Linked DNA regions of Drosophila melanogaster. The protein of the gene in region 1 purifies or fractionates together with the protein of each later gene. This does not show direct contact. Each region holds a gene or a part of one and is shown on either strand. Other genes may lie near its edges.

The links. Proteins that work in one complex are often made in the same cells at the same time.
Region 2: the proteins of Mpcp2 (region 1) and Kr-h2 purify together in Drosophila melanogaster (affinity purification with mass spectrometry, with the first as the bait; one large-scale study listed by BioGRID). This does not show direct contact.

What each region holds. Positions count from the first base shown.
Region 1 is NT_037436.4:14,534,689-14,542,167, forward strand, and holds Mpcp2 (mitochondrial phosphate carrier protein 2), read left to right. Parts: upstream 1-2,962; 5' UTR 2,963-3,014; intron 3,015-3,037; exon of another isoform or gene 3,038-3,160; intron 3,161-3,315; 5' UTR 3,316-3,343; coding exon 3,344-3,733; intron 3,734-4,040; coding exon 4,041-4,381; intron 4,382-4,864; coding exon 4,865-5,204; 3' UTR 5,205-5,753; downstream 5,754-7,479. Other genes in the region: CG43246 (uncharacterized protein), read left to right, coding at 1,946-2,204, 2,256-2,503; Gbs-70E (glycogen binding subunit 70E), read right to left, coding at 7,431-7,479.
Region 2 is NT_033779.5:6,068,046-6,075,833, forward strand, and holds Kr-h2 (kruppel homolog 2), read left to right. Parts: upstream 1-2,944; 5' UTR 2,945-3,142; intron 3,143-4,167; exon of another isoform or gene 4,168-4,368; 5' UTR 4,369-4,410; coding exon 4,411-4,631; intron 4,632-4,688; coding exon 4,689-4,938; intron 4,939-4,994; coding exon 4,995-5,128; intron 5,129-5,191; coding exon 5,192-5,417; 3' UTR 5,418-5,916; downstream 5,917-7,788. Other genes in the region: CG9150 (uncharacterized protein), read right to left, coding at 1-534; Pfdn1 (prefoldin 1), read left to right, coding at 1,176-1,205, 1,302-1,444, 1,514-1,721; CG9154 (uncharacterized protein), read right to left, coding at 1,763-2,133, 2,188-2,347, 2,404-2,544. UniProt on the Drosophila melanogaster protein: Member of the dosage-dependent hierarchy effective upon white gene expression.

The DNA of each region.
Region 1 (7,479 bases):
GAAAAAGTAGTGATAAGATGTAAGAGCGAGAAAGGTACAATAAACAAATAAATAAAATAGGGGTTTTAAGATTGCATTATAAATAAAATTTAAACCATTTTTAAATTTTTAGAACAGTTTAAGTATTAAAAGTTTGTCGTCTTGTTGTAAATTGTAAATTTCAGCATACACAGGAAGTGTCTCTATCTCGAATTTTACATTGTGGAATGACTTTCTAGCAAACAATTTCTTGCAGTGCCACAACAAAAAGTGAAGGGGCCCCAAAGCAAACGTCAAAACGCCTCAAAACGCCTCAAAAGATCAGAGTGTGTTTGTGGCGTCTCGTTTGTTGATGCGGTGGCTAATGGCTGCATATATATTCGTAAGCAAAAAAATAAAGAAATATATGGACAAGGCCTGTCTAGTCATAGCGGTACTTTGAGTGGGCCCCCAAACTGGCGAAAAAAGGAGGAGGATTGGGGTAGCTAATGACTTGGCGCCCAACTGAAGGAAGTTGCCAATTTTTGTTGCTGGTTAACTAGTCGCAACTGGTGTTGATTAGTTTTTCTTTGAATTTCTTTAGGACTCACTTCGTTTTAAATGGGCAATAAAATTCCATGAATTGTTTAAAGGAGAACCACTAACAGTCAGAATTATTAAGAAATATTAGAAGACTCGGAACCTAATTTATTAAATATAGAATCTTCCTAATGTACACAGATTTACTAAGATAATATCAATTAAAATGACCAGTTCAGAGTTTACATGTTATTTGCCGCTTATAGAAATGAGATAATCTTATGAGATCACTTACAACATGCAGTGAGCTTTTCTTTATGTTGATCGAAGGTGTTTTTAATACCATTCAAAACATTTCAAAAAGCTACATTTGCAATGTTTTATTGATTTTATCCAATACAAAGTGTAATGTTATTGTAATTGATTACTTCAATCTAGACTTTAACAGGATATTTTGAAATATTTTTAAAAACTTAATTGTATTTTCTTTAGAAAGATATATTCATTCATTTGTATATGCATATTATGTATTATATTATTATTACTTAAACCATATTTCACTTAAGTTCATATCTCATTTGTTATCACTTTTCGATTCTCCTAAATCAAACTTTCTTTTCCGCTTGCAAAAACATGACCAATCTCTTGATTACTTTTCGACTTAAGCTTCCTCTTCTCAGACTAAACCCAAATCGATCAGTTTATCGCATCCACTCTCAAGCTTTCAAAACTTATCCACATTCAATTTACTAAAACACTTTGCCGTAATCTCTATTTCAGATCCAGCTCCAGTTAGCAGACCGTTACACAAAAGCACTAACACAAAACACTTGGCAGAGCAGCTCTCCTTACGTTTAACTTTAATTACTCAATTATTTGCCAGATTTTGTTGTTTTTCACTTCTTAAGTTGGAAATTAGCCGCGAAGTACGCAGACCTAAAACGTTGGCCAACTGATTAGAGCGAGCGAGAGGCGGCGAGGGGCACAACAACGATCATATCGGATCGGATCTCGGATCGAATGGGAATCAACTATATATCGGACTACTACAGCGCGCGTGTGCGAACGCGCTACGAACCAAACTCAAACTGACGACCGAACTTCACTCCACAGAAATCCACGAGCGAGCAAACACAGCAAATACAAAAGCACAAGCAAAAGCAAAGACGGCGGCAAACAAAAAGAAAGAAGCACAAAGACAATCGAAAGACAGACTCAAAGCTTAGCGAAAGAGTCCGTTGAAGTTCTTTTGGTAAGAACCACAAAAAAGGCGGAAAGGCTTAAATAATCCTTGAACTTAATAATAACCTACATAATATAAATATCCAAGTGTATATTATCAGTCACTTTTGTTCGTTTTGTAACAATAGTCGTACATAGTGGCCTTTGGAAATACATACATAAACTTTATCAACGCGGTCTCATTGAATTATTTTTCTTATTTTAAATGTCTTTTAATTGTATATATTTTCTTATTATACTCAGTGGGAGACTGTTGATCACCTGTGCCGAAAAAAACGTATCTATAATAGAAAATGGGAGATGCTTAGATTGTAGGAAGGAAAATACGGAAATGTGTCGGATTAAAGAGACAGGATTCAGTTGTTATGAAGGAAACTTTTATAGGCGATTGGGTCGTCTACAAGGTGAATTCCCAAAAACAACCAATAAAGAGGGTGTTTGCGTTCCACCCGGACTGCATATCGGTATAAGAAGCATTTGAATAGTAATAAAAGACTAATTTTTTAATTTTACAGATACTATGAATGCCAAAGTCTGCTGCGTTTGGTCACCAGAAATCGGTTGTCAAATCTTATTAACTGAAGATCACCAGGGTGAATTTTGCTTCACTTGCAGAGTGAAATATAAAATGGAATACAAAGGCCTAATTTCCTGTCCGTGCGTAAAAAGTGAAGGATTGGGCCAACCCCATGTGAAATCATGGCAGAACTTTATTTTCACATATTTACTCATAAAATTATCCAGTTTTACCATGGGGCTATAACTTATAAATTTAAAATGTACATATAATTGAAAATTGTTATATATTTTACAGAGAGTTCTAAATACAATAAAGCTTTAGATTAAAATTTGTTTTATTGTGTAAAAATAGAAAACAAATCACAAATACTATGCAAAAATATGAGGATTTTACAAATGAATTTATTATTTTTTCAAAATATTTACAACTAATGTTATCAATATGAAATTAATATTAATAATTAATATTTTATTCACAACGAAGGCAATGGCATTAAAATAATCTCACCTGATACCTCGTATGCAGATGGTTCGAGTCCACGCTCAGGCGCCACCAAAGTTTTGCACCAAGGTTGCAGTCCATAGCCGAAGATTTTGACATGAGTGTGGCCAACTATCCTCAATCCGCTAGTTACACCTCTCCACGGCAAAACCATTAAGGCGTTTTGGTATTCGTGAGAAATCGCTGCACCTCCGTGAGCCCCCCCTCATTCTTTGAATCCTCGCCAACGAGCCGCTAACGTTGCTGACGAATAGTAAGTGCGAAAATTCCGAGCGAAAATTGCATAAGTTTTGTAAAATCGAAATCAAAGTAGCCGAGCGGTGCTCTATCGCTCCCTTAACATACACTAAATTTACGTGGTTGCTTAAAATCCTTCGCTTTTCGGGTAAATTTGGTGTCGTAAGTCCGGGTGCTCGGAATTCGAGGCACGCCGTTATGTAACCTACAAAAGCGAAAAGCAGCTGATTACCCAGCTATATATATAATTAGATAAAGCACATGTCGCCTCCGAGGTACATATATACGTAACTAATGGATGGTCTCTCTACTTTCAGCCGACCCCAGAACAAGAACAGAATCAAGATGTTCTCCAGCTTCTTTGAAACTGCCCGGAACTCGCCATTCCGCACCCCCATGTCGATGGCAAGATGCGATGCCGCCGCCCCAGTGGTGGAACCCCAGCCGGTTGAGGGTCGCCAGATCGCCGCCGCCGCTACCCCGGTGGCCAACCAGCAGGATTCGTGCGAATTCGGCAGCACCAAGTACTTCGCTCTGTGCGGAATTGGTGGCATTCTCAGCTGCGGCACCACCCACACCTTCGTGGTCCCACTGGATCTGGTGAAGTGCCGTCTGCAGGTCGACCAGGCCAAGTACAAGAATCTGGTGCACGGATTCAAGGTCACCGTGGCGGAGGAGGGCGCCCGCGGACTGGCTAAGGGCTGGTTCCCCACTCTGCTCGGCTACTCGGCACAGGTGAGATTGGGCTTCACTTTATGGGTTGCATAATCGTCTGGAGGCGAATTATATGCTCGTGACCAGGTCGGCTGACCTTAATTACATCGGTTCCGGGCTTGAAGCAGATAAAAGTGATTCGAATCGAACATTAGGAAGTTTGATTCCTAGGCTGATATCTTAGTATACCTCAGAATAACAACACACCTTTGACAACTTTATGGTTACGGGAGAAACAGATACCGAAGATAAAATCTTGGATACTACTGCAAACTGAAAAATAACTTCTGAGAAACAGCAGGCTAATCCGCGTTTCTGTATCTTTCAGGGTCTGTGCAAGTTCGGTCTGTACGAGTTGTTCAAGGTGAAGTACGCCGAAATCATTGGCGAGGAGAACGCCTACCTGTACCGCACCTCCTTGTATCTGGCTGCTTCCGCTTCGGCCGAGTTCTTCGCCGATATCGCTCTGGCGCCGTTCGAGGCCGCCAAGGTGAAGATCCAGACTATTCCCGGATACGCCAACAACTTCCGCGAGGCAGTGCCCAAGATGCTAAAGGAGGAGGGCGTCAATGCCTTCTACAAGGGTCTGGTTCCCCTGTGGATGCGACAGATCCCATACACCATGATGAAGTTCGCTTGCTTCGAGCGCACCGTGGAGCTGCTCTACAAGTAAGTAACATTTCCTCTTTAGGTATCCTCTAGTTTCTACAGCGGAAAAACTTACCAGTGCTGTGCACAATATCTGTATTCGTATTAGCGTTTTGCTATTACAATAGTTTAAAGGTAGACTGTTAATCTGTGAAATTTCAAAAGTGATATGCTAATTGATCAAAACTGAAAGTATTCATAATAAAATAAACTTTTAGCGCGTCAGCAGATAAGAATGCCATTCGTATCTAATAAATGGCACGCCAGAATAAAAACCAACGACGAATGCTTATCTTGTTCAAATATAGGAAAATCATATTATTTCAGAACTAGTTTGTTACTATGGATAAAATAAAAAAAGCAAAGCATTCCTTTTGAAGTGCAAATTAGCAGGTAGCCACTGAAAGTTCAAATGTAAAAACTAGAGCAATACCGTTCACAGTTCGGGTTGTCAAGCCCCAACGAACCCCGTTAAATCAATACTAATGATGCAACTTTTCCCAGGTATGTGGTGCCCAAGCCTCGTGCCGACTGCACCAAGGGCGAGCAGCTGATCGTGACCTTCGCCGCTGGCTACATCGCCGGTGTGTTCTGTGCCGTGGTGTCGCATCCCGCTGATGTGGTGGTGTCCAAGCTGAACCAGGCCAAGGGAGCTAGCGCCATCAGCGTGGCCAAGTCGCTGGGCTTCAGTGGCATGTGGAACGGATTGACTCCTCGTATTATCATGATCGGTACCCTGACCGCTCTGCAGTGGTTCATCTACGATGGTGTGAAGGTCGCCCTGGGCATTCCCCGCCCACCACCACCAGAGATGCCAGCTAGCCTGAAGGCCAAGCAGCATTAAGTGGGCTAGTCCAATTGGTTACCTTAAGGACAGAGTTCACTAGTTGGAGCGATTGTGGGCAGACACAGGAGCAACATACTTTTACTTTCTAACGAATTTCGGTTTCAGTATAGCGAAAATGCTTTATACTTGTTTCTCAGCAAGAATACATTAATGTTGCGTGTGTGCCATTGCACATGTACATTCCAAAACAACACTTTACGCATTTCTCTAACACAGCACTTATACACACTTTTTTATAAACACATCTTTCTAACTTTAAAAGCCAAACATTCTATCGTACGAAACTAAGCTACACTCAAGTTCAAAGTATTCAATTCCATATATATTCTGTTATACTATGTGCTATATTTAATCCTATGTGTGTCTAGCTTTCGCTGGAAAGTATGTCCGTATGTTGTACCTTTGATGGCCAGCCCCTTGTTATCTCCTCTCCGCTGCCCCCACAGGCCACACATGCGAATATGATATTAATGCTGTTTCAATTGTCTGACCCGATACCCAAGAAAGCACTCTGAATAAATTAAATTATAAAATATAAAAAACTCTACCAAGCTGCGTTTTCTAATCTTGTCTATCTATTGGGAACTGGTTATTATAGATTGTGGCTGTGATCACATTAGAACGATCGTGGGGATAACCTTATGACCTTATGATTTCCCTGACATTGAAAATGGGGTTTTATGGCGCTATAACTAACTAGCATTGTGAGGTAACCAAACAAGAGATCACGAATGCTGATTGCTTTAAAGGAAAACGGCTAATTTCGGTTTTGTTTAATCGTAATCAGCTGCCAATTGTCTGCGAGAATTTTTATGTGTTGCACAAAATGTCGATTTAAGATGTTTGAGCTAATCTATTATAATTAATATTTTAACACAATGAGCGATTTTTACATATTTAATTTTTAATAACCCACTCGATACTGTTGTAATATTTGTTTGATGCTTCTATAGAATTCGAATGCAAATCTTCATCTCAATTAAATTTATTAAAAAAAGGTTTGGACGTCTTGGCTAAATAAGAAGAACTACAGTATTTTTTCCAAAAATATTTATTTTGTTTATGAGCATTGAGCTGAATAAGACATTACAGTGGCTCGTTGTGTCATAAGTCCAGTAAAAACTAAATAATTAAATAGTACGCTTTATATATGGGCACATATATAGTTGATTTATTCACGTTACGTCAGTTGGGCTCCTTACTAACTAAATAACCTCTAAGAACTAAAAACTAGTCATCGTGATATAACTAAATTCATATGTGTATATAAATGTATTTAACAGGCAATTTTCTGGTATATTGTTTTGCTTTTGCTTCTGTATGTACAAATCGCTTAAATCTAGCTAGGTGTATATATCATATATAGTCGGGGATCTGGATCACACAGAACGATGAGGACAAAGTACTTTGTTGTCTGTAATGTGGTGATGCGAAAATTGCTGGGTTCTTTTTATTATATAATGTATTGCAGGACGTGTTTTCTTCTCCATAACAAGCCATTTCAGTCTTAGCGTTTCAAGTAACCAAAAAGATAAAAGTGTATAATGAAATAAAAAGAATAGAAATAAAAAGTAATAAAACGAATAAACTTAGGGCTACAATTTTGTTGCTTTTCTTGTGTTCTTTCATAATGTGTGTTTTGTTGGTTTTTGTTTTCTTTATTTTGCAGTTGCAGTAAATTTCGAAACAATGGTTTGCTTGAATGCTTCACGCCTCAAAATTCATCTCCTTTCATTTTTATAAGGTTTTTTTTTTCGTTTTTAGTTAACATAAATCTAGTATCAGTTATATAGATGTAGACGATCACACAGGCATACAGGTAAACATATAAATCTATCTTTTCCAAAAATTCTTTACAGTCAAACATAAAACATTTTAAAAAGTTATACATAGATTTTGAAATTCCATCAAGTTGACTAAAGACAAGACATACAAATTCGGGCTTCGCTCAGTAGAAGTAGTTATAAGCCCTCCTATCTCATTTTATATTGAGTAAACCTCAAGTCAATGGCACATTAAAATTGGGATATTTGTACCGGGTATTAGCTTAGGTCAAAAAGTTTCGTTAGTGGTAAAATCTTTTGGACTCTCCCTCTGTCAATGAAACTGATTATAACACTTTAAATCTTTTCCAATTCTGTTTCTTTCTGTTCATGTGGCCTAAATGAGAAACTTTATTCAATCGCTTGGGTCAGGAAAATCCAATCCCGTTCCCAGGCGATTTCACCAATATGGCGTATGTGGCTCCTGGTGCCAGCCATTTTGGTCTTGC
Region 2 (7,788 bases), on another chromosome or scaffold:
ATATGTCTCTGTGATGGCGGTGATGGCAAACTTGGTGGCCGGATATATATTGAACGATGGCAAAACGTCGATGAAGTTGAGCACCTGATGTCCGGCTATGCTGTTGATGATGAGAACGTGACCTTCGCCACCTCGCCGTTTCATGTTATTGAACGCCTCGCGGGTACACCAAATCACGCCCATTACGTTGGTGTCTATGACCTCCTTAAGCTTCTGCGTATTGCTCGGGGTGACCAGTTCCGTCTCGCGAGTAATGCCAGCATTGTTCAGCAGCACGTCGGCGCCCTCCAGCTCCCGTTCGATCCAGTCAAAAGAGCTCTGCACCTGATCTTCCTTGGAGACGTCGCAGCGCCGCGGTATGAAGTTCGCCTGCAGCTCCCGGGGCAGACTCTCCCTGAGCTCTTTCAACTTGGCCTCCCGACGTGCCAGGCCCACCACCCGTAGTCCAGCGCCGATCATGGCCCGAGCACAAGCGGCGCCTATGCCTCCGCTGGCTCCTGTTACCACAGCCAGTTTGTTCTGCCACCGCTCCATGCCGTCTTGTGAATGAGGAGCTGATGCAAGTAAGAAGCCCGCATCGGAAACTCGGGAGCAGTTTCATGGCTTCTTGGTTCGCAATTGAGGTTAATCTCCAACGGTCAAATGTTGTTGTCAGGTTGTAGATATATATATTAAAAGAAGATTCAACAATTTGGGTCAGGATTATACGCACTTAAGGTTAGGCTATCCTTTTATTCTTAAATTGACCTAAAGAAAATGTATTAAGGAACTGCGAGACTTTAAATATAAAATAAAATAGCTCAAATGTATATATTTTTTTAAGATTGTGTACTTTTTAAATTTGAATAAAAATTTTATAAGCGATAACATAAAAATTAATATTTGTACTTGGTAGTGACCAGTGACCACATTTTAAAGAAAAATTCAATTTGCATATTTATTCAAAGTCTTGAAATCGGTTTGAATTTACACTTGCCGGCAAATTGGTTATCGATAGTGCAGGGCGTACTCATCGATATTTTCAGGCCAGCAGGAGTCAGATATAACTGCCATCACTAATAAAGTAGAAAAAAAAAACCATAAGCTTACCGCAGGTGTTGCAATTTTCAGTGAATTCGCAGCAAAGCCAAGCAATTTGCATTCAATCATCTGTGAAGGAAAAGCTATCACACAAAATGGCACAAATGGACATCGAATTGAAGAAGGTGAGCGGAAGGCAAGTTGCCAAAAAGGCCGACTGCCGACGGAGAGCGCGTGCTCTTCCAAAGAACTTAGTCATAGACGATTCCTTTTGCACGCAGGCCTTCACCGAGATGCAGATCAATAAGCTGGAGACGACCAAGAAGATCCACATGATCGACATGAAGTGCGACATGGTCAAGACAGGCAAACAAAAGTACCAGCTGACAGAAAAGGGCACCAGCAGCTTGGCCGACGACACAAGGTACATAACTAGAATCACAATTAATCATCTCCAGGTGTTCAGGTGGCTAATTGAACTGTTTCCCTATAGAGTTTACCAGTCCGTGGGTCGCATGTTCCTGCTTACCGATGTACAGAATATGCGCGAGGACCTGAAGGCTAGGCAGGAGAAATGCGACAAAGCGATAGAACTGCTGGAGAAGAAGAAGGAGTTCTTGCAGAAGTCCCTTAAGAGCCAGGAAGACGGTCTGCGCGAGTTGGTGCAGCAGCGCAAGGAAGCCGATCAGACTGCGAAATAGACTACAACTCCAAACTGGCATTTATCCCTCAACGCAATTGCTTATTTATTTTCAATATACTCGTCTAAATTGAAGTTGGCGTAGCTGACAAACTTGTTGCCCAGATTGCGTTCGTGTTCCGGGCGGAAGCTGCACTTGAGGACGGGCAGGCGAGCGGTTAGCCAGGGCTCCACCACCTCACCGGAGCACAGGATTACCTTGCTCTCCTTCTGGTTTCGTTGCAGCCTAGTGATTATTTCACACGTTTTGGCGATGCACTCCTGGGACAGGAAGGGCGGGTCGGCCACGATGAGGTCATATTGCTGGTGGTGCTCTTTGAGGTAGTCCGGGTTGCTCCCTACGCAGTTCAAGTCGTAGTGCACAAAATCTGTGCCATAGGCCTCGAAACGCTTGTCGAACTCGAATATGTGCACTACAAGATAGAATGATGACAATTCATTCATAATCGTTTCACATGTCCACTTACCTGTGTCATGTATCTCCCTGATGTCCTTGTAGAGCGATGGGCAGGAGAGCAGTGCTATACTAAAGTCACCCGAATCCTCCGTGCGCTCCGCCAGAAGCTTACGCACAACATCACGCAATGCGTGCTTGGTTTCCGTGCTGTACCAGAACTGACTCAATTGCTGCAAGCGAAGAGAGTTTCACCATAAGTTTCTAAGGTATGTGCAGGTGCTCTTGCCCAATCCTCCTCGAACTGGGCATCCTTGCCGGTCTTGTTGGCGATTTGATTCTCCTCCTCGGCTTCGCGTTTTGATCTCTCCAACAGAAATTCGTTTAAAATGGCCAAAGTGTCGGCGGGCAGCGAGATGTCGTCGTCCATAATTAATTATTTGCCACTAAATGAATCTTAGAGCATTCAAATCAAAATAAACCAAAATGTGCGTTTGAAGATTAGAGGTGCGAAATTAGCGATACAAATGAGAACTTATTGGGGGGATTCCAGGCCTTGGCGCTGTTTTCAAATTGTAAATTATTAGAAACTTAGGCCAACTGCGATATTGAAATTATACTTTCAAAATAATATGCACTTTAACCGTATGCAAATCGATTACCAATTTTAATTTATTTTAAGTTATTTTATTAATACAACTAGCTCCAGAAACCTGTATCGTAACTTTTATTTGACAACACATTTTCAAACTGTACTGAATATTTAGGCGTTTAATCGACAACTAAAACAGCAACTTTCAAGTACGTGGTCTTTAAATTTCGTAAGATCGAGAAAGCAGTGCGATACAAATCGGTGGCAGCCCTGTGTCAGTTCGTTTTTATCGAACTAGATCAACTTTGCCCGTCCATCTCTAGTTCGCACGGGAGCCCCGACCAAACTGATACGTATTAATTTACGAGAAAAACTTGCGTTTAATTCGAAGTCACATCATATCGCAGGCTGGAACGTACCTGCTGCTAAGTAAGAGGTAAGTGAATGGCCAACGTGAATTAGGAAAAATCAGTGCCTTGCCGGAAACGAAATCCATGTGATTAAAGGCTAACTTTCTTCGCTTGACGTCGTTCCCAAATCGGATAAAAGTGTGCTGCTGGCCCAGTAATTACACTGGTGAATTATGCAGGTCGGCATTTGGACTCGCTCCGCGACTTCCGTGCGGGGGAGGAAGCATCCAATCCCCAAGCGCAACCGTTTCGAATTTCTACAGCGCGGCGCGAAGAGCCCTGCACTTTGATTTCGTTGCCGTTCATTGTGGAGTTCAGTCGGGTCAATCAGCCTCAATTTGCGAGACTTACCTTCTGAATCTCTGACGTGTACCTACCAACCAAACTGTCCACTATGTGACATCATATAATTGGGCTTCCGACTCCGGACTATTGCATGAATAATGTGCGCGCGGGTTGACAGGTGCTACCTTAAATTGACTAGGTGACCCACTTCCGTTGAAGGACCCTCCGTCCACAGATCCCAATCGATACGGCTGCCCCACTGCCAGTCTCATTACTCGACATGTAAATCGAAAGTACACGTAGGATGGACCCCCTCGGTTGGGTTTACTTAATCGCTCAGACCAGCCCACTCCCCCTCCCATGTTTCACCTGTTGCCACCTGTTTGTGTTTCAATATTTTGACGTGTATTTCGTAACAACATGCACATTGTGCGCTGTCTTGCAGTTTTCTCTTCGAGCTTCGTAACGAAATCTTTGCGTTTAGTGCGCTAGGCATCATAAACCGCATACTCGAGAAATATAATTGCCAAACCGTAAGAGTACATGATACTTTAGCGATGGCTTGGCTGTTTTCTTTTTTTGGTTGCCTCATGCAAAGCACTGTCCGTAATGGTGGGCAAGTCATCTTGGCTAAAGCGAACATTAACACGACTTTTGGGCCAGCCCGTTCTCGTTTTAAGTGCGTTTGCCAGCCACTTTCCATTTGACTGGTTTAACAGTTGGCCCTGACTTTCAATTAAGACGTAAAGCGCTTGGCACTGAGAAGCGTAGTGCAGTCTAATCCTGGAGTCATAGAGGGCAGATCTTGCGGGCTATTCATTAGGTTGGAACCCTCACACATCAGATAGCGCCGCAGTTACTTAGCCAAGGTTCTCTTATCGCTGCCTATGCCTAAGATAGCAGCCAAATTCCCGCCGATAAGGCCGAAAGTAGAAACCTTATACTGATTTTCATAACTGCCTTGCAGACTGAATACTGAACGGAAAGCGAGCACGAAAGCTACTTCATCATGAGCGCACCCACCGACCAACCACCGCGCTCCGAGGGCGCTCAGACCAACAGCTCCGAGAGATCCTCACAGCAGCAGGAGCAACCGCAGCAATCTCAATCACAGAACGTACCGGCCAAGCTCCTGCAGCATTTTCAGACAAATCGCATAGATTCCGCGCTATGGGCACTACGTCTGCTGGTCATCTTCTTCACCGTCAGCTACGTGCTGCCCATCTTTACGTGAGTACACGCGTTTTCCACATTGACCTACTCTAATTTTCACTTACTTCTCCACAGCTCACAACAGAGCGCATTCAGCAAGGTTATGCTGGCTAATGCCGCCATCTCTGCCTTGCGTTTGCACCAGAGATTGCCCGCGTTCGCGTTCAGTCGGGAGTTCCTTGCTCGACTGTTTGCCGAGGACTCGTGTCATTACATGATGTACTCCCTGATCTTCTTCAACATCCGCCCATCGCTGCTGGTTCTGATTCCCGTGCTGCTGTACTCAGTTCTGCACGCCTCAAGCTACTCGCTTAAGCTGCTGGATGTAAGGAAAGCAATATTTCACATTTGGCACTTGTCTAATAAGAAATGTACTTACAGCTGATTGGCCAGAACTCGTGGTGGGGTGCCCGTTTCATCATCTCCATTGTAGAGTTTCAGGCGGCGAATATCCTGAAGGCAACTGCATTCTGCGAGATCTTCATCATGCCTTACGCCATTGTGCTGGCCTTCATGTGAGTTTTAACACATATCTTTCGAGGGGAATGCACTCCAATGCAGAATACTTTCAATTTTAGGAACCACGCTGGATTGATGACGCCCGTTATTTACTACCACTATCTGGTGATGCGCTACAGCTCGCGACGAAATCCCTATCCGCGCAACGCTTTCGCTGAGCTGCGTATAACCTTCGAGGCGCTGGCCGCCCGCTCACCGCCCGCCTTTGCCAAGATCATCCGTGGAGGCATTGGGTTCGTCAACCGCTTGGCGCCGCAGCTACAGCCGGCTGCAGCGCAAGAGTAGACACGACAAGCAGCTAACGGAAAACAACAATCAAATGACATATGAATAAGGCTATTTAAATACCAGTTCACTTGCATAGATGTTCACACAGGAGATTGGGGTTCATCCGTTTTATTTGTTAGCCGAAATTCGTTGCACCTTTTCGAAGCGAAACTAGTTGTTTTACACCAGATTGTTTCGGCATTTAAGTTTAAATTTATCTATATATTATTGTAGTTTTTTTTGAGTACATCATCATGCTTTTTTCAACAACACACAATGTGGCAACGCACGAATTCCGCCATGGAGGATCAACGGCGCGTATTACTATATTTATATCCCAAAAACAAATTATTTCAATTTGTTTTGCTTTAACTTATATGTTCAAAATACTGATCAAACGAAAAACATGGACAGCTAACGCTGTTAGTAATTATTTACATATATTTTGTATGAGTGTGTAAAGATTCGAAGAACCAAACAAAGTAAAGTAAAGTTAAATAAAACATTTTGAGAAGGTACTAGAATTTGGACTACAATTTTTTCTGGTTGATTGGCTTTAAATCTTCTGCTACTGTATTAAGTGGTTTGCACTTAACTTGTTTCTTCTCAAGCCAATTAAAAAATGATATCAATCGTAATAATTTTCGTATCATCCTTAAAGTATGCAATACCTTAATTTCTCCACTTTTGGTCAGCGGGCTCAAACAGGTGAATGGAAGCGTTCCCCAACATACTCCAGATCAGGATCACTAGTCGATTTGGCCATGTTCCAGTCGGACACGAATAGTAGCAATCTAAGCACTTTTGTACAGCGCCGAAGCATCAACCCACAACGAAACTAATGAAATGATTTCTGGGTGTGAGGCTAGGGCGTTGGTAGCTTGTCGTTGGCTCTGGACTTCTTCCGAATTTCCACCAAGTTCAATGAACTTCTTGCGCAGCGCCAAAAAAAAAAAATGTTCGTCCAAATGAGGGTGAAGGCACCCGAGCTTTGTTGTGTTGTGTAGGTGAAACGACTCACTTTCGTTCTCAGTGCCGGGAAAACTTTGGGGCAGGGGCTTTTCCTCGGCGGCATGGAGGCAGGGTAGCAGGGTATCAGTGTAGCAGGGAGTCCGTCCAATAGCACTGCCAGTGAGCCAGTTTATGGCATGGAGTGGTGTCTGCGTTCATCTTCATATGCGTGTTGATGCTTTCATGGGGTTCTTGAACTTTACCTCTGTCAAAGATTTGCTTTCTTGTTCCGATTATCCGAAGACAGCGGGAGGAACTTTGTGGCGTGGATTATGTTTCACTTAATTTGTTCAGCTTTCCTAGGTTCTTTATTAAATCAAAAATAAGGGCATTGATTTGTAGCTTCCGTTCTTTTGGGGGAAAAGCTGAAGCATGGAAAATAGGGAATTATTGGACCTGAAAAATTACGGAACCATTGCCACAAACTCACATGTTTTTTATGTCGTTCGTAGGAGCAAAAGAAATGATAGCCAAAATTTACTATAGACATTGTTTTATTTTTTTTGGGTATGATCAAGTTTTCTTCACCAGTACTTCAAAGAAATTATGAAGAAACCGAAATCAAAAAGATTACAATTATTAATAATTTGTAGGATAAATACTTCTAGGGTTATATTGGGGATGCTTAGATAATTGATTATATAGATAAAATATTAAATGCAAAGTGGTGGTGAGGTACCTACTTAATCCAAAGCACTACGAATCTAAGCAATGTTATCAAATAATAACTCTATTGGTAACTTGGAGTCAAGCAAATATGGGCTTAAATGGGTCAAGCTGCATTGCGTATGGGTTCGAATAGCAACCCCCTGGAAATTTTTGGCCTGGGACACGCATAAAATTTGGGCACAAAACGGAGTGCCTATGCATTTCCACCCTAGTTGTCCCCCCAACAAAAAAAAAATAAATAAAACGAATGACATCATGTTAGCCCCCTCCCTCCCCCTCCCACACACACACACACACACACAAAACAGCCGAAAAGCAGTTGCACTAGCTGTTCGCATTCGTGAGTGTAATGTGAAAACTAAATTAGATACCGAAAGCGAAAGCATAAAGCACAGCTGAAAAATAAGCCCCACGCATTTGGGGTTGTCCGCCTCTATTCCCCTTCCCATTCCCCTTCCCAATCCCCTTCCCATTCCCCTTCCCATTCCCTTTTCCCATCCACAAGCCAGAAAAGGTCTTTGAACTCTTCACCAAATGTTGTACGAAAATGGGTCACGACTTGAGCATTTTCCAAATCGAAAATTTCCCCCATTATCAATGGGGGAAATTGTCTCTAAGAAAACCACGCAGAATTTCCCCCAAAAAACAATTTCAATTGTATTGCGTAGTCGTCTGGAGTTTGCGCAGCTCCATCAGCTGATTGGGAAAT